Macaca mulatta: one gene and its partners. The protein of the gene in region 1 purifies or fractionates together with the protein of each later gene. This does not show direct contact. Links are inferred from orthologs where the notes say so. Each region holds a gene or a part of one and is shown in the gene's direction. Other genes may lie near its edges. The genes, in order: RBM45, FAM120A and KPNA1.

Evidence for each region.
Region 2: the proteins of RBM45 (region 1) and FAM120A purify together in Homo sapiens (co-immunoprecipitation; 3 studies listed by BioGRID and IntAct, with this or other methods). This does not show direct contact. The link is inferred for Macaca mulatta from reciprocal best matches to the Homo sapiens genes RBM45 and FAM120A.
Region 3: the proteins of RBM45 (region 1) and KPNA1 purify together in Homo sapiens (co-immunoprecipitation; 3 studies listed by BioGRID and IntAct, with this or other methods). This does not show direct contact. The link is inferred for Macaca mulatta from reciprocal best matches to the Homo sapiens genes RBM45 and KPNA1.

What each region holds. Positions count from the first base shown.
Region 1 is NC_133417.1:83,044,167-83,051,655, forward strand, and holds the start of RBM45 (RNA-binding protein 45), read left to right. Parts: upstream 1-3,417; 5' UTR 3,418-3,541; coding exon 3,542-3,841; intron 3,842-7,297; coding exon 7,298-7,420; intron 7,421-7,489. UniProt on the Homo sapiens protein: RNA-binding protein with binding specificity for poly(C). May play an important role in neural development.
Region 2 is NC_133420.1:124,034,718-124,042,128, forward strand, and holds the start of FAM120A (constitutive coactivator of PPAR-gamma-like protein 1), read left to right. Parts: upstream 1-2,370; 5' UTR 2,371-2,566; coding exon 2,567-3,040; intron 3,041-7,411. Other genes in the region: uncharacterized protein FAM120AOS, read right to left, coding at 1,118-1,238, 1,726-1,742. UniProt on the Homo sapiens protein: Component of the oxidative stress-induced survival signaling. May regulate the activation of SRC family protein kinases. May act as a scaffolding protein enabling SRC family protein kinases to phosphorylate and activate PI3-kinase.
Region 3 is NC_133407.1:161,249,740-161,257,272, forward strand, and holds the start of KPNA1 (importin subunit alpha-5), read left to right. Parts: upstream 1-2,799; 5' UTR 2,800-2,881; intron 2,882-7,533. UniProt on the Homo sapiens protein: Functions in nuclear protein import as an adapter protein for nuclear receptor KPNB1. Binds specifically and directly to substrates containing either a simple or bipartite NLS motif.

The sequences.
Region 1 (7,489 bases):
TTAAATGTAACATATGAAGACTAATAGCACCAACTAAGCAAGTCTCATTGTACTTGAGTTTGGAAAATAATGACAAAAATTTACTATTTGCTCCTGGCAATTCAAAAATTAGTCACAATATCACCTCTCATTTTAAAAAGAAAAAATTTGAGGGAGAAAGGTTTCAAAAAAATCTGAATTTCATGCGAAACAAACATGTATGCACATTCCAATAACAGTGCCTTATAGACTACATGTTCTAAAGCCTTGAAAAAAATTTAATCTGCAAATGCCCAGCATCTGGTTTCTTCTATTAAGCAGACTAACTAAAAATCATTCTTTTAAACCTCAGACATTTTTAGGTGTTTTAGTTACATGTAATTCGTGTTCAAAGGTTTTATGATTTGAAGTGTAACAATTTGGTCATTGAGTGATGAAACGTTCTAAAATTGATTGTGATGATGCTTGCACAATGCTGTGAAGGTACTAAAAACGATTTAATTGAATACATCAAATGAGTGAATTGTATGATGTAAGAATTAGATCTCACTGGGTGTGGTGGGTCTCTCCTGTAATCCTAGCTACTTGGGAGGCATAGGCAAGAGAATCACTTAAGGCCAGTTCAAGATTGCCCCAGGCAACATAGTGAGACACCATCCCTTAAAAAAAAAGAAAAAGAAAGAAAGAAAGAAAGAAAGAAAGAAAGAAAGAAAGAAAGAAAGAAAGGAAAAATGAGAAGAATTATATCTCAATAAATTTGTTTAAAATAAATACATAAGTCATGAAGAAAATGTACTTACTATATTTTTTAATTTATAAGTAAATTTCTAATTTTCCTTGAATATGTCATATTTCACATAATTGAATAGTAAAGAAATTTTGCTTTCCTGGCATTTTACAATATTTCTGTTCCTGGTTTTGTTTTATGGAATCTTTTATCTTTTTTTGAGAAAAAAATTAACTGTTCTCAATAACAGCCTAAAATTTTCAGGACACCAATCAGTAGTCTTATTTCACAAAGAATAGAGATTGCCCAGTCAGAACAATTTGAGAAAATTACACATTTTCCACTAGATGGCACTGGTTTGCAAATAATACTGCTTTGCACTTCCTCTCATCAACAAAATTATTACACTATCAAATTATTTTCATTTACCTTGATTGTTGTGGATAGGATAAAGAGAAATGGAAAGTTAAGAAAAGATACTTCCTAGAGTTGCTCAGCCTCAGGGTAAACAGAGCCCTCATTACAGATATGGAATGTAATACAAGGAGAAATTATAAAAATCTTGTTAGTGCTAAATCCAGGGTAACAACCCACAATCCCTGACTCTCAGTAGTCATCACACAACTGTACAATATCAGGGGTGGGGAAGTGGATACCATAGTCAAAGGAAACAAGAAAATTAATCTCGATTGTGCCATTATACAAATATTATCTCATTTGATCTCTAAACTATGAACTCTATATATATTATCTCATATGAGCATAACTATACAAGGCTAAATGATTAACTCTGTGGGGGAGAAGAGTAATTATTTTGCTCAATACTACATCCCTTCAGTATAACACAGTGCCTAACACATATAAGATAGTCAAAAATACTTATTAAGTGAATGGGTGAATTAATTAAACTTGATAGTCATGCTCCTGCATATATTAGGTGGCTATCAAGCTTAACTAATGCAACTATAAAATAATATGTATTACCTATTTAGTAGGTAATATTATTCCTACTTTACAGTTAAGGAAACTGAAGCTGCAAGTATTAAGTAACTTGTCCAAGCTCCCACAATTCAGTAGCAAAACCATGTAACATGATCTGACATTACTTTGCATTATATATTTACATGTCAGATTTCCACAGTGGGGGAAAACAAGCCCTCAGGACATGTCTTTCCTTTTCCTCATTATATATCTAGCTCCTGGCATGGAGCCTGGCACATAGTTGGAGCACAGTAAATATTTATCTGGTTGACTTCATAGCAACCTAGGTCTTAGCATCCAGAACTTGTTCATTTGAAGAACTCTGCCCTCAGTCTACGTAGGGGTTTATTCCTTTCACTTCATTCCAATGCCACTGCTAAATCGAGACCTTGTTTCTGGATTTCTACTGGATTTCTGACCTCTCCTCTAAGGCCTGTTAGCAAGAAGGCGTTTCCCACTTTGCTTGCACTCTATGATTTCTCTTAGTTCCACAGGTGAGCAGTCCACCCTCACTGCCCTCCAACCCCAGGGTTGTTTGTAGAAGTTGAGTAAATCAACAGATGGAGTTAGTTCTGGGTTTTTTGTTGTTCATGTTTGAGACAGAGTCTCACTCTATCACCCAGGCTGGAGGGCAGTGCCGCAATCTCTGCCTCCTGAGTTCACGCCATTCTCTTGCCTCAGCCTCCTGAGTAGCTGGGACTACAGGCGCCCGCCACCACGCCTGGCTAATTCTTTTGTATTTTTTTAGTAGAGAGGGAGTTTCACCGTGTTAGCCAGGATGGTCTTGGTTTCCTGACCTCGTGATCCACCCGCCTCGGCCTCCCAAAGTGCTGGAATCACAGGCATGAGCCACCACTCCCGGCCAAGTTAGTTCTGGTTTTAGCTGTACTTTTATCTCTATTACTTTGGCTATGCTATAGGCCTCAGTTTCCTCATCTCTAACAAATGAGGTTGAAATGGAATGATCTCAAATGTTCCTTTCCACTCTAATGCTGTGTAGTTTGAACTCTGTCCTATATTGATTGTCTATTGAGCTTATGATCAAGATGATGACAAAGGACTCTCCTCTTTGACCAAAACTTAGTTAGGCTCCTCTGAGTCCTCTGCTTGACTAGGCTTGATCTTGGGCTGTCTGTCCTTGTAGAATCCAATTTCAGCAAGATTCAGTGTAGTGAATCAGTGTAGTGAAAATCCAGTATCTGACCACCATGGATATCAATCACCCTGGCCTGCCTTCAGCAAGTATCCTGTCAAGTTGGTTTAGCCAGAATCCTCCTTAACCCTGATGTACCCTCTTAGTAATTTTCCATCCACTGACCTCCCACCCAGCTTCTTGGTTAGAAATGTGTCCTTATTAGAGTCAAAATTCAGTCCAATCTCTCTCTCCCACTGCAAGACCCCATTGCAGCTGTCCCTGGACCTATCACCATGTCTCCTTTTGTCAAAGTTGGCCTTCCTGTACCATCTCTAATGAGTGTCATGAATAATTTTTTCTTTAACACTGGAAAGAATCCTTGGCCTTAGGGGTGGGGTAAAGCCAGCGTTGGGAAAGCCTGTGCAGTAGGCAGCGCTTTTCTGCCTGCAGGGAACAAGGATTACACAATTGATACTTGGGCTGAGGCTCAGCTGGGTTGGAGACTTAGACTGCGTCAGCGTCCCCCGCGTCGCCAGGGGGCGCTGCAGGCCGCTCCCCGGAAGGCCGCATCCTGCGCGGCTGGACAGCGCCTGGCGCAGGACTCCTCTCTCTCCCGGAAGCGGAGCAACGAGCCCGCAAAGCCTCGGTGTGAGATAGCAGTGGTGGCAGACACCGCAGAAGCAAAGAGCACTGAGGCTCTTGCATTCAGGTGGAGTACCATGGACGAAGCTGGCAGCTCTGCGAGCGGCGGGGGCTTCCGCCCGGGCGTGGACAGCCTGGACGAACCGCCCAACAGCCGCATCTTCCTTGTGATCAGCAAGTACACGCCTGAGTCGGTGCTGAGGGAGCGCTTCTCGCCTTTTGGCGACATCCAGGACATCTGGGTGGTGCGGGACAAGCACACTAAGGAATCCAAGGGCATTGCTTTCGTCAAGTTCGCCCGCAGCTCACAGGCCTGCAGGGCCATGGAGGAGATGCATGGCCAGTGCCTCGGCCCCAACGACACCAAGCCCATCAAGGTGCGGGTGCCCGGGTCGGGGTGCCCTCGGGGGAAGGAGTGGGCCTTTCGGACCTCCCTTCACCTGCCGCTCTGTCGGGGTGAGGGAGGAGTGGAACATCCGTTCCCGGCAGCTGACCAGACAGCACCTGGTGTAGGGACAGGGGCTGCTTTGAGGAGAGGCTCCCCTCCCACGAAGCTGCGCTGGGTTGCAGGGAAGGGGACGGGAAGCGGAATGTTTGCCCCCCGAGAGCGGACCAGGCAACCGCGGCCACCGGGTGACAGAACAGCAGTGGCTGGGCGTCCTCTCTCCCTCGCCCTCACTAATCCACCAGCTCTTGAGTTCACTGCCAAACTCGTCCTAGCCTACTTTGAGTACTTTTCTGACCTTCTTCTCTCAGATGCCCAGAATTTCCATTATAACAAACGGAAAAACTCTGCTTTTCCTCAGGTAGAGATGAGGTGTTAACAACTTGACAAAAGTACTTTAAACTGGGGACCTCTGGTGTTGGACGTTTTCCCAGTACCAGACAAAAGAATACATGTATATAATACTAAGTGCAGGTGTTTAAAACGGTCACTGTTACATATTCATCACATTTTGTTGTTTTGGAAGATTATTTTGAACGAGCTCTGTTTCTGAAAGTGTTAATAGCATACATTTGGTTCTTGACCCTTTCTGTTACTGCAAATTTTCTTTGAAAGCAGACCAAAGTAAACTGCCTTAAGAAGAGCCAAATCATTGTGATAATGACACATGTCAGGAAGGATCATTTTGAGGGTTATTTGACATAATCTGTGCTTTCAGCACAGTGCCTCGCACAGGGTAAGCCCTCAATATGTCCTTGTTGTTGATCGGTAATAGCCAAGATGTCACTGCTTACTCCCTGTGATCTCAAATCAGGACTCAGTCCTGAGAATCTGGCAATTGCTTAAATTGTACCCTTCGTCTGCCCCGTGTAAATAGTTGCTATGTATGTTATTCTGTTGGTACTTTGCACAAAAATATTTTCTCAATTTTTAAAAAAATTGTTTTCCAAATTGAGAATGGTATTATTATGGACTTATGTAAATAAAGGACTCAGAGATACTTCAGTCTCTGGAGGTCTTGCTCCATGCACAAAAGAGAAGGAGCCTGGGAATATACCAGTAACACGGTAAACAGTCCCTTCCTCCCACCTCTCCAACCCTCTGAAGTGTGTCAGAATAGGAGAGCAACAAAATTAATTTAGGGTCACAGCATACAGGATCAGGAGTTGACAAACTTTTTCTGTAAAGGGCTGGCTAGTAAATATTTTAGGCTTTGTGGGCCACATACAGTCTCTGTCACAAATCCTTGTCTGTTTTTACAGTTTTTAAGGACAGTTTTTACAGTCCTTAAAAACTGTAAAAACAGTTCTTACATCATGGGCTATACCAAAAATGGAGCTGTAGTTTGCTGACCTCTGTAGTAGACTGATGTGTTTCATCACTGTCCAATTATGACCTTAGTGGAGAGGGTTTTTATATTTTGAGTGTAACATGGCCACAGAGCCCATGTGGACAACCCAAGAAAAGGTGCCATATTTGAAATTGGTGGACCACCTTCCCCTGATAAATTTCTACAAGAGAAATTAAAGGCCCAGCACTGAAATGTACCTTCTCTTTTAGCTGCAGAGAAATTAAAGATCTTGTTCCCAAAAAGAAATAAACTACTATTTTCTTTGTCACATTTTTGACTATTCAGTTTTAGCCAGAAGGTTGTTTCACTGTAGTACCTAGCTAGACAGTCTAGTTTCATTTGTTTTCTTTCTTTCTTTTTTTTTTTTTTTTTTTTTTGAGACAGAATCTCGCTGTGTCACCCAGGCTAAAGTGCAGTGGCTTCTTGATCACAGCTCACTGTAGCCTCTACCTCCCAGACTCAAGCAATCCTCTTGCCTCATCCTCCCTCTCAAGTAGCTGGGACTACAGATGTGCACCACCATGCCCAGCTAATTTTTTTATTTTTCATAGAGACAGGGTCTCACTATGTTACCTAGGCAGGTCTCAAACTCCTGGGCTCAAGCGATCCTCCCATTTCAACCTCCCATTACAGTTGTGAGCCACCACACCCTAACAGCCTAGTTTCATTCAGCAGCTGCAGCTCGAGCCATCTTCGACTGGAACACTCTTGTGTTGTTTTCAGCATTTCCAGTTAAATTACTTCAGCTTCAGTATTTCTATCGTACTTTGCTTTTGCAAAGTTTCAGAGGATCTATAACACAAGAATATTATCATACCAGGCCTCAGCCAGAAAAGATTGTCCAAGTAAAAGTTATTCTGTGACCAACTATTTATCTGGCGGAAAGGGGGAAACCTAGAAAACAGAAGAAAAAAATCTTGGCTTTAGTTTTGCAAGAATGCTTCTTATCTAGAGCCTATGAACGCTCATAGTCTTTGAAGGTGAAAATTTATGGGAGAAATCTACCATGAGGAGGTTAATTATTTTACATACATTCTACATAGACTGTCTCCTTTGTCAGAGATTTGAAACACCTCAGTCCTCTAAAATGTAGAAATCTGTGTTCTGATGGCACTTCCAATTTCATCTTACCTGAGATTCTTTTTTTTTTTTCTCTAATGTCTTTGCATATACTTAAAGCTTCCCTATTTGTATTTCCCTATTTACCATTTATTACTGATATCAGCCACAAAACTCTAGTGGGCCATTTCTGTGTTACTCAATAGTTGTACTCATATAGTGCTTGACATATAGCATAGATTTACTGTAGGAATAACTAGAAGTAGACTATAAAGGGATATGTCTCTAATACTGTGGTTTTCTTAGTTGCTGCTTCCTACTCTGGAATTTCATAAGTTCCAGTTTTTTCATGCTTGGATGATATAGAGCCCCCTTTACCAGCAGTGGATTAGAGACCAAGATATAGAGACCCCTTTAAAGGAAAGAGAAACAAACAATGCAAGGACCCTTGTTTATGGTGTTTTAATTTATTATATTACATTTATTCAAATTGCTCTGGCTAAAACAAATGCAAAAGTAGAAATACATTTGGGAAACAAACAATGCAGAGATTGGTATTAGCTCGTAAAAAAAAGTCATTGCAGGCCCAGCACGGTGGCTCACACCTGTAATCCTAGCATTTTGGAAGGTCAAAGTGGGAGGATCACTTGAGCCCAGGAATTCGTGACCATCTTGGGCAACATAGCAAGACCTTGTCTCTATAAATGTTAAAAAATTAGCTGGGTGTTGTGGTATGTGTCTGTGGTCCCAGCTACTTGGGAGGCTGAGGTGGGAGGATCACTTGAGCCTAGAACGTTGAAACTGCAGTGAGCCATGATCACACCACTACACTCCAGCTTGGGTGACACAGCGAGACCCCATCTCAAAAAAAATAAATAAATAAAAAGTCATTGCAAGAATAATTGCTTTTGAAAAAAATTTAAGAAATGGGAAAATAGTTGACATTATTTTATTTTGGGAGTTTTGTTTGTTTCTTAGGTTTTCATTGCACAGTCCCGATCATCTGGAAGTCACCGAGATGTTGAAGATGAAGAACTTACAAGAATCTTTGTTATGATACCAAAGTCCTACACAGAGGAAGATCTGCGGGAAAAATTTAAGGTACTTATTCTAATCAGCTAGCATATGTGATAACTCATAGTCCTATACAGGTTGTATGGGTACTAAATC
Region 2 (7,411 bases), on another chromosome or scaffold:
GGTAAATATTTTTGCAACGGCACAGACTTATCAAAAGACAGATGCTGGGGGTCTGACTCCAGAACCTTAGAACTCTACAATGTAATAAGGTGAAAATAAATTTATTTCCAGAATTTCAGATACTGGCACTAGCATTTTTTTTTTTTTTTTTTTTTGAGATGGACTCTCGCTCTGTTGCCAGGCTGGAGTGCAGTGGCATGATCACTACAACCTCCGTCTCCCGGGTTCAAGCGATTCTCCTGCCTCAGCCTCCCGAGTAGCTGGGACTACAGGTGTGCGCCACCACGCTCAGCTGATTTTTGTGTTTTTAGTAGAGGTGGGGTTTCACCATGTTGGCTAGGATGGTCTCGATCTCTTGACCTTGTGATATGCCCGCCTCGGCCTCCCAATGGTGCTGGGATTACAGGCGTGAGCTACCACGCCCGGCCGTACTAATGCATTTTTAAAAATTAAAAGCAAGAGTATTTAAAGAAAAGGTAAATACATGGAATGCAATGCTATGAATGAAAATACAAGTGATTAAAAACTACTACTCCTCACCTTGTGAACCTGCCTTGGGTTATAGAAGGAAATTTGGATATTTCTGGATTTTACCTTATTATTTAATGGCTAACTGTATTATTTCTTTTATTTATTTATTTTTGAGATGGAATCTAGCTCTGATGCCCAGGCTAGAGAGTGCAGTGGCACCATCTGTGCTGACTGCAACCTCTGCCTCTCGGGTTCAAGCAATTCTCTTGCCTCAGTCTCCCGAGTAGCTGGGATTACAGACGCACACCACCAGGCCCGGCTAATTTTTGCATTTTTACTAGAGACGGGGTTTCACCATGTTGACCAGGCTGGTCTCGAACTACTGACCTCAAATGATCCACCCGCCTCGGCCTCCCAAAGTGCTGGGATTACAGGCGTGAGCCACCGCACCTGGCCTGTGTTATTTCTAGATAACATGTCATCCTGGCTTTGTGACTAATTTGATGCATAAGTGAGTGGCATAACTTGTCAGTCTGTTTTTAAATGTAACTTCTTAAAATACCAACAGCATTTAATTTATGTATATATGATACTGGCTTGTATCTGACGTGGCTATCAGAAAAGAAAGCAGAAAAATCAAACTTGCCTTTTTCACCGGGAGTATGGGGGCTTCTTTGACCAAATCGTGCGCGTGCAGGCTCCATGTGCTGGGAAGGGGCTGTCCGGCCACAGCCTGTCGGTTGCATCCTGCTCCTCTACAGAGGTTTCTCCAGAAAAAGAACAGATGGAGAGGTGAAAGTAAGTAAAAGCGGCACTTTAAAACTTTTGTGCTGGGTTTCTAAATTTATATTCTGAAAGGCATTAATCTCTTTTTGAAAATGTTTTATGCAAGCCTAATATACATACAGTATCAACCTCATTTTAGAAGCAATTACGACAGCGCTTAGGAACAGAATTTACGTAAACGACCTCCTTCCAGAAGATGCTACTAAACCAACAAGATTTAAATCCCTCTCCCTAAGAAGGGCAGGGCGACCCACTGCAAAGGCGCACGTTTCAGCCTGGCCATTCCGCAGTGGGAACGCAGGCTTTCCACGCTGCAACAGACCTGTGCTCTCAAGACAGTCTCTTCCGTGACGAGCAGGCGCTTAGGACTACCTGTACCTTCAGACATTATGGTGCGTTTGGCCATGTCATTTGTCATAGGTGTAAAAACCACTACAACCGAGAGCCCGAAGCTGCTGGGATGAGCACCTGCCGCGGAACTGCATTCTCGCGCTCCTTCCTGCTCTTTCCAAGAAGCCCGGCGCGGCCGGCCAGCATCCCGCTCCCCCGGACCCCGCAGTCAGTGTGGGCAGCAGGCCCAGAGCGGTGCGAGCCCACCGTGGCGTTAGAAAGGCTGCGTCCCGACGAGCAGAGTAATTCGGCCTCCGGCTCACCCTCAAAGCTCCATCTTATCGCCGCTTCCCTCAGGAGCAGGCGAGCTCTTCCCCAGGACCTGCTTCGCGGCTTTCCCTCGCCGGAGTACCGCCGGGCGGCGGCGGCGGCCTCTCTGGTCCTGCGGGGAACAGGCCGCCAGGAGGGGAGCGGCGGCCGACGGGCCTGAGGCGGGCGAGCGGCCTGTGGCCTCCAGGCGCGGCCTGCTCCGGCTCAGGCGCCCCCTGGATCCCGCCCCGGCCCGACTCCCGGCCTCCGCCTCCGCCGCAGCCGCCTCCGGGAGCCCCGAACCGCGTCCCGCCGGCGCCGCCTCTTCCGCCTGCTCGCCGGCGGGCCTGCGCGGGCCTGGGCGGCGTCCGCGCCGGGCGGGTCCGCTACGTCAGCGCCGCCCGCCCGCCCCGCCCCGGCCCTCAGCCTCGGCCTCGGCCTCGGCCTCGCAGCGGCGGCAGCGGCGGCGGCGGCAGGTCCCTCCCCAGACATGGCCCTGGGAGGCGGCAGCACATGGCGGCCGCGGCGGCCATGAGCGCGCCCCCGACCCGCCCCAGTCCCCCCTAGAGGCCGCCGCCCCCGCCCGCCCGCCCGCCCGCGCGCCACGGCCCCACCGCCCCCGGCCCCGCCGCCCCCCGCCCGCACCCGCGCCCGCGCCCCCGCCGCCGCCATGGGCGTGCAGGGCTTCCAGGACTACATCGAGAAGCACTGCCCGAGCGCCGTGGTGCCGGTGGAGCTGCAGAAGCTGGCCCGGGGCAGCCTGGTGGGCGGCGGGCGGCAGCGGCCCCCGCAGACCCCGCTGCGCCTGCTGGTGGACGCCGACAACTGCCTGCACCGCCTCTACGGTGGCTTCTACACCGACTGGGTCAGCGGCGGCCAGTGGAACCACATGCTTGGCTACCTGGCGGCGCTGGCCAAGGCCTGCTTCGGCGGCAACATCGAGCTCTTCGTCTTCTTCAACGGCGCGCTCGAGAAGGCCCGGCTGCACGAGTGGGTCAAGCGGCAGGGCAACGAGCGCCAGACGGCACAGCAGATCGTCAGCCATGTCCAGAACAAGGGCACCCCGCCGCCCAAGGTCTGGTTCCTGCCGCCCGTCTGCATGGCCCACTGCATCCGCCTGGCGCTCATCCGCTTCCACGTCAAGGTGAGGCCGGGGATCCGGGCGGGCCGGGGACCGGGGCCGCGCCGCACCCCTATGCCCCTTCCCAGGGCACAGAATGTCGCCCGGCCGTGGCGGCGCTGGGGGCAGCGAGCTCCCCCTGCCCTGGCTCGGGATAGCCGGGCCGGGCCGCAAGATGGATGGCCGCGGGTGCAGGCCGCGCGCTGCCCAAGCCCGCCTCCAGCTGTCCCTGTTCGGGGTCCACGGCCGCGTGGGGACACCTGAGGGCTGGGAGAGAGCACCGGACCAGAATTCGGAGGCGGCAGTGTCATCATCCCGAATATCCTTAGTTTTTCCCGTCCTGTGGGGGCGGGCAGGCTATCACTCACCTTCAACTTTGACAAAATATGACTCCCTTTTCTAATTTAGCCTGTTCTTTCCCAGCAACAGGTTCATCTCGGAAGCAAGCAGGATACAGAGTAATAGAGGGGGTTTCGCCAGGGCCCTCGGGGGCTGCAGATATCACTGCTGCCGCCGCCGCCCTTGCCAATGCTGTTAGCCCGGTGACAGCGAGACGTGTCTAAGGGCCAGTGCCCTGGCCTCTACTTCAGAACGCAGTGCCCTGTCCGTGTTCCTCTTAGTACAGGGTGTTTAGAGAATCTTTCTATGACTTTTTGTGTTAGATTTCAAAGAACCGTGCACTTTGACAGGATGGGATTTGTCAGTTCTGTGACTTCACGTCGGTGTGAAAGAGGTCTTTAAGGCAGTTCGGTTTTGTAGATCCCACGCGAAAGGAGTCCTTCAAAGTCAGGGGGCGAGCTACACGGGGCGTGAACTCGCAGGATTTATTTTTCGGGTGCACAGTAAGTATTCAGTGACCTTCAGCGGCGCCCTGACGGGTGGGTAATCAGAGCTCTACATCACCGGCCTCCTCTGGCCCTTTGGCAGAGGGTTCCGCAGCTGGCACTGGGCCAGAGGAGAACTTCAGGACCCAGCAGTGACTGTGGAGATAAGCACAGACATGATCCTGGACTTCACGTTCTGATTGCTTGCTTTTTTCATTGGTTTTCTTGAAAACAAATTTTGGGGGCCTTTTTGGTGTCTTAGCTCTCGCCACTCTGCCTTCCATCTTGTCATTCTTTGACATTTCCTTGAAACTGCTGGAGCTGAAAGTTTGTGAAATTCTGTCTTCGCGGTTGCCCCCGGTGCCCGCGAGGAGATGGTGGTAGTTAAGCCTAAAATGATAGCGGAAGTCCCACCCACGATCCGGTTGCAATTGGTGAGATGGTGTTTAAGTCGTGGGTGGAGGCGGCCGGCAGAGTCCCGATTGGCCCCTGCGCCTGGCAGACACACAGCTGCCATTCCTCAGGGAAGTTCGGGTGAGAGGAAGTGCCTGCCTAGTAATTTCTGAATCGGAGCCTGGGGCGCTCAGGGAAGTAAGGTGCTGCCATTTGTCTGAAGCGATCCATCTTCCTAATAGAGCGTAAAAGTGTTCAAAGTTTGGTCTTGTTCAGAGATGGAAAAGACTACTTAAAAGACAGGATGGGCTGCACTTGCCTTTGGTAACCGCACAGCTATCTACTTAACTAGTCAGGCGAGTTTCAAGGGAACACTGAATATTACTTAGGATTAGAATCAGTGTGTATGCATATGGTCACTGTATCTTTAAAGAACTGTTGAGTTCTTTTTAATTCTACAGTTTCTTTATCTTTGCACCCCTTTGAATGCCTCGCACACCTAGTAGGTGCTCAGAATTCAGACCAATGTGTAAGTGTTTGGAAACTAGATTTAAGCTCCATTTCAGATCGTCTTTTTCACTTAGGTTTCTGGACACGGGATAATTTTGTCTATATTTTGCTTTTGCTAAGCTTTTAATTATTGAGCTAGGATCATATTATAGTGTAAATTGCACAAAATGAATATTGTAATGACTCGATTACTTGGTGGTCTCTTAGCTGGCAACCTTACTTTTTTGAAAAGTGCCTGAGAGATTTAGCTACTAGAAATTTCTCAGCAACCAAGCAAGATGTCAGGAAGTTGTGGGGGGTGGCGGGCGTGGGGGGGTGCCTTTACTTTCCTCACTGAAAAATCCTTTTAAGCTCTCTCACTCACGGACTGGTCTCTTTTTAGATGTAATTCTAACAAGCTTGGTTATCTATTTTCTAAACTCAGCTTGAGAAGAGGGTGAAGAGGAGAGTCTGCCAGAGGCAGGAGCACCATTAATAGCAAGAAGTGACAACAAGAGTGAAGATTTAAAAAGCTATAAAAAGCAAACATGATTCTGGGGCTATTTTAAGAAAAGGAGAACAACCCTATGTACTTCAGTGGTCCCTGAGGGTAGTACAATGTGTTTTCTGTAAGGATGATTGGGAGTCATAACAATTAATATTCAGCATTCTCTGTTTAAGGGATCGAAACAGCGTATACCACTTAACAAAATATACCCATAAAATGGTTAAAAGGTTTAAAACCATGATGAGGTATCACTACAGGCCTATTAGAATGGCTAAAAGAGAAAAAAATTTGAGCAATACCAAGTGCTAGCAAGAATGCTGAGCAACTGGATCCTTACACATTGCTTGTGGGAATGCAGAATGGCACCGCCACCCCAGAAAACAGTGGCAGTTTCTTATAAAGTTAAGCATACATTTATCATACCATCCAGCAATTCCACTCCTGGGTATTTTCCTAATGAAGACTTTTGTTTGCGCAGAAACTCGTACTCAAATGTCCATAGCAGCTTAAATCATAATAGCCAAAACGTGGAAACAAAATATCTTTTAATAAGTGAATGGTTAAACTACTGTATAGCCATACTATAGAATGCTGCTTAGCAATAGTAAGGAAGGTGTAGGTAACAACTTGCATGAATCTTTAATTAAGGTTTTATACTGAGTGAAAGAAGCCAGGTTCAAAAGGGATGATTATAAAACTATAGTGATGGGGACCAATTCAGTGGTGCTGAGAGTAGAGGAGAGGAAGGATGTACACATTAAGGGGACAGCAGGAGAGAGCTTTGTGGAGTGATGGAACTGTTCTGTATTCTGATGGTGGTGATGCTACCATACATTAAAATCAGAATGATTCATCCAAAGTAAACGTGTTAATTTTATCGTATGGTAATTTTTTTAAAATTAAGTAAAAACCACTGGCAAAGGAATTGACATGAACACTTCAGTATATATAATATTGGGTAAATGAGACATTTATGAAAACTTTAAGCATCTTACTGGTGCTTTCTCGTGTTTCGTAAATTGGCGGAGGGGCATAATTTCTTGTTACCCTTGCTTAGAGAAATCTTTTTTTTTTTTTTTTTGAGATGAAGTCTCACTGTGTTGCCCAGGCTGGAGTGCAGTGGCGTGATCTTGGCTCACTGCAACCTCCACCTCCTAGGTTCAAGCGATTCTCCTGACTCAGCCTACCTAGTAACGGGGATTACAGGCGTGTCTGCCATCATGCCCGGCTAATTTTTGTGTTTTTGATAGTGACGGGGTTTCACCATCTTGGCCAGGCTGGTCTTGAGCTCCTGACCTCGTGATCCACCCGCCTCAGCCTCCCAAAGTGCTGGGATTACAGGTGTGAGCCACTGTGCCCGGCCAGGAGAAATCTTTTTTGACTTAGAGTTTATTTCATTTACAGAGTAATAATTGTATTTTTTGTTCAGTAGTAGTAATTGTATTTCTTTAACCATTAGAAGTTGGTCTACGTGGAAGGAGAGCCAGAACAATGAAAATAGTAATAATACGTTGGCCTGTGTATTGACTAGTTTTGGATAGGTCCTGAAATAGCCTAATTTGAACTTGGTTTTAGCTAGTTACTTGGACAGTTTCCTGTTGTGTGCTTTGGGTCATTATAACCTTTGAAACTTCAGTAAATGACTTATGTTTATTTTAAAATCTTGGTCACTGGAGCTTTCATAAATGTTTCTGCTATATGACTTGTGGTATCAGTGTAAGGGTTTATAATGAAGTCCTTCAGATCTTCTGAATTTGCTTCCATTGGAGTTTTGTTAAATAATGCTCTTACATAAAATGGCGTTCATGCTTTAAGTCAGTGGAAGAATGTGAGGTTAGACTATGGTTTAGAATGTTCGTGGTTAGCATAATTACATGTTTGTATTTAGAGATGATTTCTCTTCATGTATACTTGATGGGGGAGAGAATGGTATCAGACCAGGTCCTTGCTAGGTCCTTTCTCACATATGCCATCTCATTTAATCCTCAGAGTGCTTTGTTACCCCATTTTATTTGCGAAAAAACAGGATCTAGTGATTAAGTGACATCTGGGGACAAGTCATTAGTAACCTCAAGACGGAAGTGGAGTGCTAAAGTCAAAGTTCAGCTTCTTTGTGTAAGAATACTTTGTGGGTGTGCCTACCTACAATTCACCCTCAGGTCAATTATGATAGCTAACCGC
Region 3 (7,533 bases), on another chromosome or scaffold:
GCTATTTTATTTAATTGCATTTATGCAACAGAAAAGAAATACAACAGAATACACAATTCTAAGTAAATATCTATTTTTCATGTTTTTATGTTCAAGTAATTTATATGTTAGATTGGCAAAAATGTAAAAAGCCAGACATTTCTAACTGTTAGCAAGTGAAGAGTATCTTATATACCGTTTATAGAGTACAAATGGGTACAATTACTTTATGAAATAATCCAGCAATGTCTAGTGTATTAGTTTTCTACTGTATAATAAATTACCATAAATATAGTATGTGAAGACACATTTATTATCTCACAGTTTCTGTGGACCAGGAGTCCAGGCACAGTTTAGCTGTTTCCTTTGCTCGGGATCTCACAAAACTGCTATCAAGGTGTAAGTCAGGCTGTCTTCTCATCTGGAGGCTGACCTCTCTCAGGGTGTTGGCAGAATTCATTTCCTTGTAGTTGTATGACTGAGGGCCCTGGCTTCTTACTGGTTGTCAGCTGGAGGCTGCACTCAAGTTCTAGAAGCCATCTGCAGTTCCCTGGCATGTGGTCTTCTCCATAGGCAGTTCACAACATGACAGCTTGCTTCTTCAAGGCCAGCAGCAAATCTCTAGCTCCAGTTTGGAAAGACAGTCTTATATAATGAAAAGGAATCATGGAAGTGACATCCTATCATCTTTGCCATATTCTGTTGGCTAGAAGTAAGTCAAAGGTCCCACCTACACTCAAGGGGTGGAGATTATATAGGCAACACCAGGGACCAGAGATTATAGGGGCCATCTTAGATTTCTATCTAATATATACAGTAAGGTTAAAGATGCAATGTCCTAGGATCTAGCAGTTTCCCTATACACAGTAGAGATGTACAAGAATGTTCATAGTAGCATTGTTTGTGATAACAAAAAATACTGTTCTATAATTTCAAATTTCTCAAAATATAAAATGATATTGTCAGAGAGACATTAGCTTATAAAACATCATGTACAGTAAGATAACACTTTTGTAAAAGTAACATACATAGGACTTCAACTTCCAGCAATGGCCTACTGTTGTTTTCAATCAACCTTTCCACTACAGAGAACAACTGGACAAAATATAAAAACGTTAATGTACTGAAGAGCTACCAAGGAAGTGAGAATTTGTGAGTGCAAGATCTGGAAGAAAAAGGAAGCCACCAGAGGTGAGCCTGATATTTGTCATCATTTTTCCAAAGCTAAGGTGATTGCTGACTCTGAAAGCAGTGGCTGAAAAAGTGAGCAGAGCCTATGGTTGTCTCATGGGCCTTAGAAGGCCCATCAAAGAGAAGAGGCCTGAGTAAATAGCCCAGACTTTTGGATGGGACCATCAAGGACTAGCTAGGATTAAGGGTGAACTGGAAATAAATTAGCTTTCCCGAAGACTGAAGACCAGCTCTGAATAATCAATCTTACCTCCTTATTGGAATAAGGTGATCTGTCTTCAGTCTAGCTGGGGTCAGGCAAACTTGCCCTTAAGTCTCTCCTGGTGAACACACCTTCCCTTTCCCCAGCCACATTGCTCAAACTCAACTCTGATCTTAGTAAACACATCGCGGGAGAATGCTGATGCAGCAGAGTGAAGTCCAGGACAAATGAACATTGCATAACCTAGGATTCAGGTAGAGTGGTCCTCTGTCTTCTCCTCTTCCCTGGGACATTTATAAATGTACTAATCTACCTCATCTCTTTTACCTTGCTTCTTGGCATATGTTTTAAATCTATCTACTATTCTGTGACCCCTGCTAGGCTGGCTTCAGTTTTTCTTTTGAAGCCACTACTCCATTTGCTCCCCCAAAGAATTCCATCAAATTTAACATTAACAATCATTTGCTCCAAGTTTTCGTTTGAGAGCACTTGAGAGTTAAACGAGTATTTGTGTTTCATGTAGTTTCTTAATTATTATTATTATTATTTTTTTTTTTTGAGGCAGGGTCTCACTCCGGTTGCCCAGGCTGGAGTGTAGTGGTGCGATCTCGGCTCACTGCAGCCTCATCGTCAACCCCGGGCTCAGGTGATTCTCCCACCTCAGCCTCCCCAGTAGCTGGGACTTCAGGCGCCCGTCACCACCCCCGGCTAATTTTTGTATTTTTAGTAGAGACGGGGTTTCGCGATGTTGCCCAGGCTAGTCTCAAACTCCTGGTCTCAAGTATTCCACCGGCCTAGGCCTCCCAAGGTGCTGGGATTACAGGTGTGAACCACTGCACCCGGCACTTAATTATTTTTGATACTACTCATACATTATCAAGCAAAGGGGATGGGACATAACTAAAAAAGGAATGTCCAGAAGCTTCTTGCATTCATACTGCATGTGAGCCCTTTAGACACGAGGCGCTGACCTACTAATTTTGTAATACTCCCTCAGTCTTCAATCATTCCATCATTCATTCCATCAACGCGTATTAGTTACCTACTTTGTTAGAAGCTATACAGAGGTGAACATCGATCCGCCCTGGAAGAGCTTAGCAAAGACAGGTTTGCACATATAACTTTCTCCAACCTTTGTTATGGTCTGCAAACCTCCTTCTTAGCGAGACCCTCTCCTCTCCCCGATCCCCGACTCTTCGCAGGCTGGGCGAGAATCGCTAGGAACGTGCGGCGAGAGAGCGTTACAAGACTACGTCTCCCGGCAGCCTCTGCGGCAAGCGCCGGAGGGGCGCGCGTAGGCGCTCGGGCCGGCCCCCGCACGCAGGCGCACTGCGAACGCCGGCAGAGCTGAGTCTTGCTGCTAGGTGCGCGGCGGCGGAGAGCGAGGCCTGCTGAGCACCGCCGAGGCGCGGGCCAGCTCTTCGAGGTTGTGCGCGGGGAGCGGCACGGCGGGCGGGCGAGCGAGGGCTCACTTCAGCGGTGGCACCGGGATCGGTTGCCTTGAGCCTGGTGAGTGCGGGGGCTTTGCGGCCCCGGCCCCTCCCCCTCCCGCCGGCAGATCCGGGCAGTCCGGGAGGGACTCGGGAGAGGCCCTGGGGCGAGGGCGGGCGCCGGCCGGGCCTCGAGCCGCGGTGCCTGGGCCCGGACGCTCGGCCCGCGTCCGTGCGTCACGGGCCCTGCTGTCCTAACGGCCGCGCGGCCGGCGGAGGAGAGGGTGGGGGTGGGGAGCCCTGGTGTGATCGCCATCGGGAACGCCGGTCGAGGCGGGGCGGGGCGGCGTGGCGCGGCGGCAGGGCTGTAAGCGGCGCCGGGGACTGCGGAGTGCCGAGGCAGCGGGCGGAGAGGAGGCGAGCGCGGAGCCTGCGCCGTGGCTGGGCGGCGGGCGGGAGGCGGAGGTGGGCCGTGCAGAGCGCTCTGACAGAGGCAGGAAGGAGCAGGGGTGGCGTGTAAAATTTCTAACCCTGGCAAGAAGGGACCGTCTTGGGAATTCACAAGTTACAGCCCGGGTCGGAGCCGGCGGCCCGGAGGGAGGTAGGGGAAGCGGGGCGGGGGCGCGGGGAGGTGGAGACGACCGGCTGCAGTTTACAGATGTCATAACAACAGGGGCCTGTAGCGGCTGATTGGGGGTGTGGTAATTACAGGAATGACAGAACTTGGTCTGCACACCGCGTGTTAAAGTGGCGATGCGAGGGAAACAGCTAGGTATCAGATTAAGCTCACAACTGGAGGATAAAACTGAAGGATGACTGGAGTCAAGGGAGTCGTCATGAAGTAATGTTTTTGGGATTGGGTCGTGTTCCACTTTTAAGTGAAAGCGTTCAAAATATTTCGTTTTTAAGGTTTCAACTCGGAACAAACGATTGCCGAATTTTTGTGTTTTAAAGAGATGGGGTCTCGCTATATTGCCTAGGCTGTACTCCCAACTCCTGAGCTCAAACTGGCCTCCTGCCTTGGCCTCCCAAGTAGCTGGGACTAGTCTCGGGCAACCACACCCAGCAATGCAGAGTATTTTTTTTTTTTCTGAAACGGGTACTGTCAAGTAATATTAACTTGAATTTCACCGTTTTTTCTTAAATAAACGGTTGCTTAAAAATCTCTATTAGTAGATAAGGTGATTTCCCCCCTCCTGTTTTTTTTTTCTTAAGAGATGGAGTCTAGCTTTGTTTCCCTGGCTGATCTGGAACTCCTGGCCTCAAGGCATCCCCCCCATTACCTGGAACTACAGGCGGGTGCCACCAACAAGGCTCATTCTCGACACTGTTTTTTTCTTAACTAGCTTTTGCATTTGTAATATTTTGAAAGCAGTCCACAAATTATTTTTCCCTCCTTTTTAAAGATTAAAGAGATGAAAATTTAATTTTTCAAAGGAAAGTAAGAATGAGTACTGTTGTATTTTTACTGAAATAATATATTCCTGGAAGGCACTGTTTTATGGATAGATGAGATGTAAGAGAAAGTAAAGGAATTAACATTTATTGAGTTCTTTTTCAGGTATTGTGTTAAATGCTTTATATATATATTAAAAACATTTAAATCTGAAATATCTGTTAATTTTTCTATTTTACAGATGAAAGCATTGACAATCAAATGTTAAGTAACTTACCTGAGGTCTTCTAGCTCTTATTGAGAACAACCTTAGAACCCAAAGTTACTGCCATTTAAATTATTTCTCTCCTTTCATACTTTTTCGTTGTGTTTTCTTTATTTAATCCGTTCAATCAGCGAATACTTATAGAGTGATCTTCTAGATTTGGAGGGATATAGTCGCGATCAAAACTCACTGTCACTGTTCTCATGGAATTTATAGTGTAGCGGGGAAAGCTAATATTACAAATATTGACTGCATAACATTTTATCAGTTATAGTTGAGTAGCAACTGTAAAGCACTCTACTAAATAGTAAAGGCAGTTGAAATGGAAGCAGACAACATAAGCCTTGAGGAATTTACAGTCCTGTAGGGCAACAAAACATACATTTATAAAAACCTAGAATAAACTAAATGGGAAAGGTATCACCTGAAATCACTGTTCTTGCATTATGTTATTTTTAATTTTATTATTTTTTGGGGGGGGTGTGGAGGACTTGCTCTGTTGCCCAGGCTGGAGTGCAGTGATGCGATCTGGGCTCCCTGCAGGCTCCCTGCAATCTCCGCCTCCTTGGTTCAAGCAGTTCTCCTGCCTGAGACTGCTGGGACTACAGGCGCATACGGCCACACCCGGCTAATTTTTTGTATTTTAGTATAGATGGGGTTTCACCGTCTTGCCCAGGCTGGTCTCGAACGCCTGAGCTCACGCGGTCCGCCCTCCTCGGCCTTCTGAAGTGCTAGGATTACAGGCATGAGCCACTGCGCCCAGCTGCATTATGTTACTTTATAAAGTGGTTCTCATAGAAGTTTCTTCACAGAACTATGATTTAATATACATCTTATCTAGAACTGATACATACCAAAAGGGGCCATGAAAAACATTTTCTTCATTTACATCTAATGAAGAAATTTCTAATTTATTTATTGGTTCCTATAAAATACAGACCTTGGAGACAAATTCTTCCTAAGACCCCAGTATTAAGCTTTTTTTTTTTTTTTTTTTAAAAACAGATGACTGGTTTTATTAGATTGTTTTGTAAGCCATCCTGTTTCTCCATACTTTTGACTGTCAGGAGGCTCAGAGCTGTGTTCAATTTTTATAATTTTCTTTAGTCTCAACTATGTTAAAAATTATTTTATACGTAATCTGGAATTGCTGTCAGTTGTTTCCTGGATTATTTTCTTTATTCTCTGTTGCTCTCGATGGTCCTTTTCCCTTTACATTTGAGAATAGGATTATATCCTATTGTTTTCATCTTCAGTGTTTTAGCAGTGTTTGTTGAATTAATGATAAAATAGAGTTTTAATGATTTATGAAGTCTGTGCTTTTAAGTCTGCCAGATTGTTTTTAGGTGTATGAATACTGTGTATAAAATCAATTAAGACCTTTGATTGGTCTTGCAAGTAAAGATGACTGACCTAGTGATAAAAGATAACGCCTTGTTTTGTTTTAAGGTATCTTTGTACTTTGCATGGTGTTATGAATTTAGCCATAATACGGAAGAAAACATTGGAAGTGGTGAATAGTTAATTAGCTGATTTGGGCTGATTTCTCTCTTTTGCTGTGGTAAGCAGGAGATGGCCTCAGGCCAACTGGAGACCAGATAGGGCCAGCATTAGAAAATTTTGGAAATTTTGGAAACATTGGAAGAGTAGGGATGAAGACTATGGGAATGTATGTTTCTTTCTTTTTTTTTAAGATGTTACAAATCTACAAAACAGAACATGAAAAAATGGTTCTGTCCAAGTGCTGTAGACTAATTGGGACAGTTCTTGAAAGCAGGCAGTAATCCAGAATGTGGATAATGGGGATAATCTCCTTCATATAACAACAGTAATGCTGCCCTTCATATACAAAGATAAGTCTGCTTATTCATCATGATTGATTTTCTAGTGTGAGGAGGGATATGTGCTGAGTTGTCCATGAGTCCCTATATAGTCTGTGAGCAGCGAGGCAGCTTGGGGTCAGAATAGGCGTTTGCAGCTAAGGAACAGAAAGACCTGCCGAAAATACTATCTGTTGATGGGTCAGGTTCTGCATCAGTTGCTTTCACTTAATTGTTCTTGCAAAACCATTTTGAGGTGGTGATTACGTGTGCAAGGTGATTGGGTAACTTGCCTTACTTCACAAAGTAGTGAAGTTGGGATTCAAGTAGGGCTGTTTGTACTGTGTTCACATTGATCGTTAAAGATTGGTTTTAGCCGTTCAGTCTCTTTGGCAAAACAAACTAGATGTAGTTTGTTTAACACCATGAAATAATACTGAAAATATAACCATCGTGAGATTGTTCAAGTTCCTTGTTTTGTCAACATTAAAAAAATAAAAATTTAAAATTAGAATACCTGAAAAAGCAGCTGTTCCTTGTCTCAGCCTCTGCACTTGAGAAGCTACCATTTTCTTTCTCCTGTTTCTTATGTTTGCTTTCATATTTACAAATACAGTGACTTGCTTTTACTGCTATTTCATGATACAGCAATTATAGATATTATTGGCTTTCTTCTAAGTAAGATGATCCTTAGTGTTTCACATATATATTCACCTCACCTGTCACATGCACACACTGACTCTGCCATCCTCCAAATATAGTTACAGGTGTTTATTAAACCAATATTTAGTGTTTACAATATTATAACTATATAAATGTTCACAGCTGACTCATGTAGAGTACTATGATATCATTTCTTCTCTTGATAAATTTTTGTTTTTCTAGAAGTTAGTATTTTTTGTTGTTGTTTGCTTCATTTTGTGAGACAGCTAACCTAGAACCTCTTAATGCAATTAGGACTAGTTACTTTCTAGTCCTATTTCATAGTTGTTTTCCTGGGACTTCTCTTTTCATCATCCTTAAAATTATTTGCCCTCTCTAGTACTGGTTCCCGTTTACTGTTTCCTGTATTTTCTTTTTTGGTTTACTTACTTCCTTGGAGTACGTTTTTTAGTAGCTTTCTGAGAAAGGATACATGGAAAACAAAAACTTTTCTGACATCTTACATGACTGAAAAAAATTTTTATTCTGACTTCGCATTTGATCAATAATTTGGGTATAAAATTCTGAGCTGAAGGTAACTTTTACTT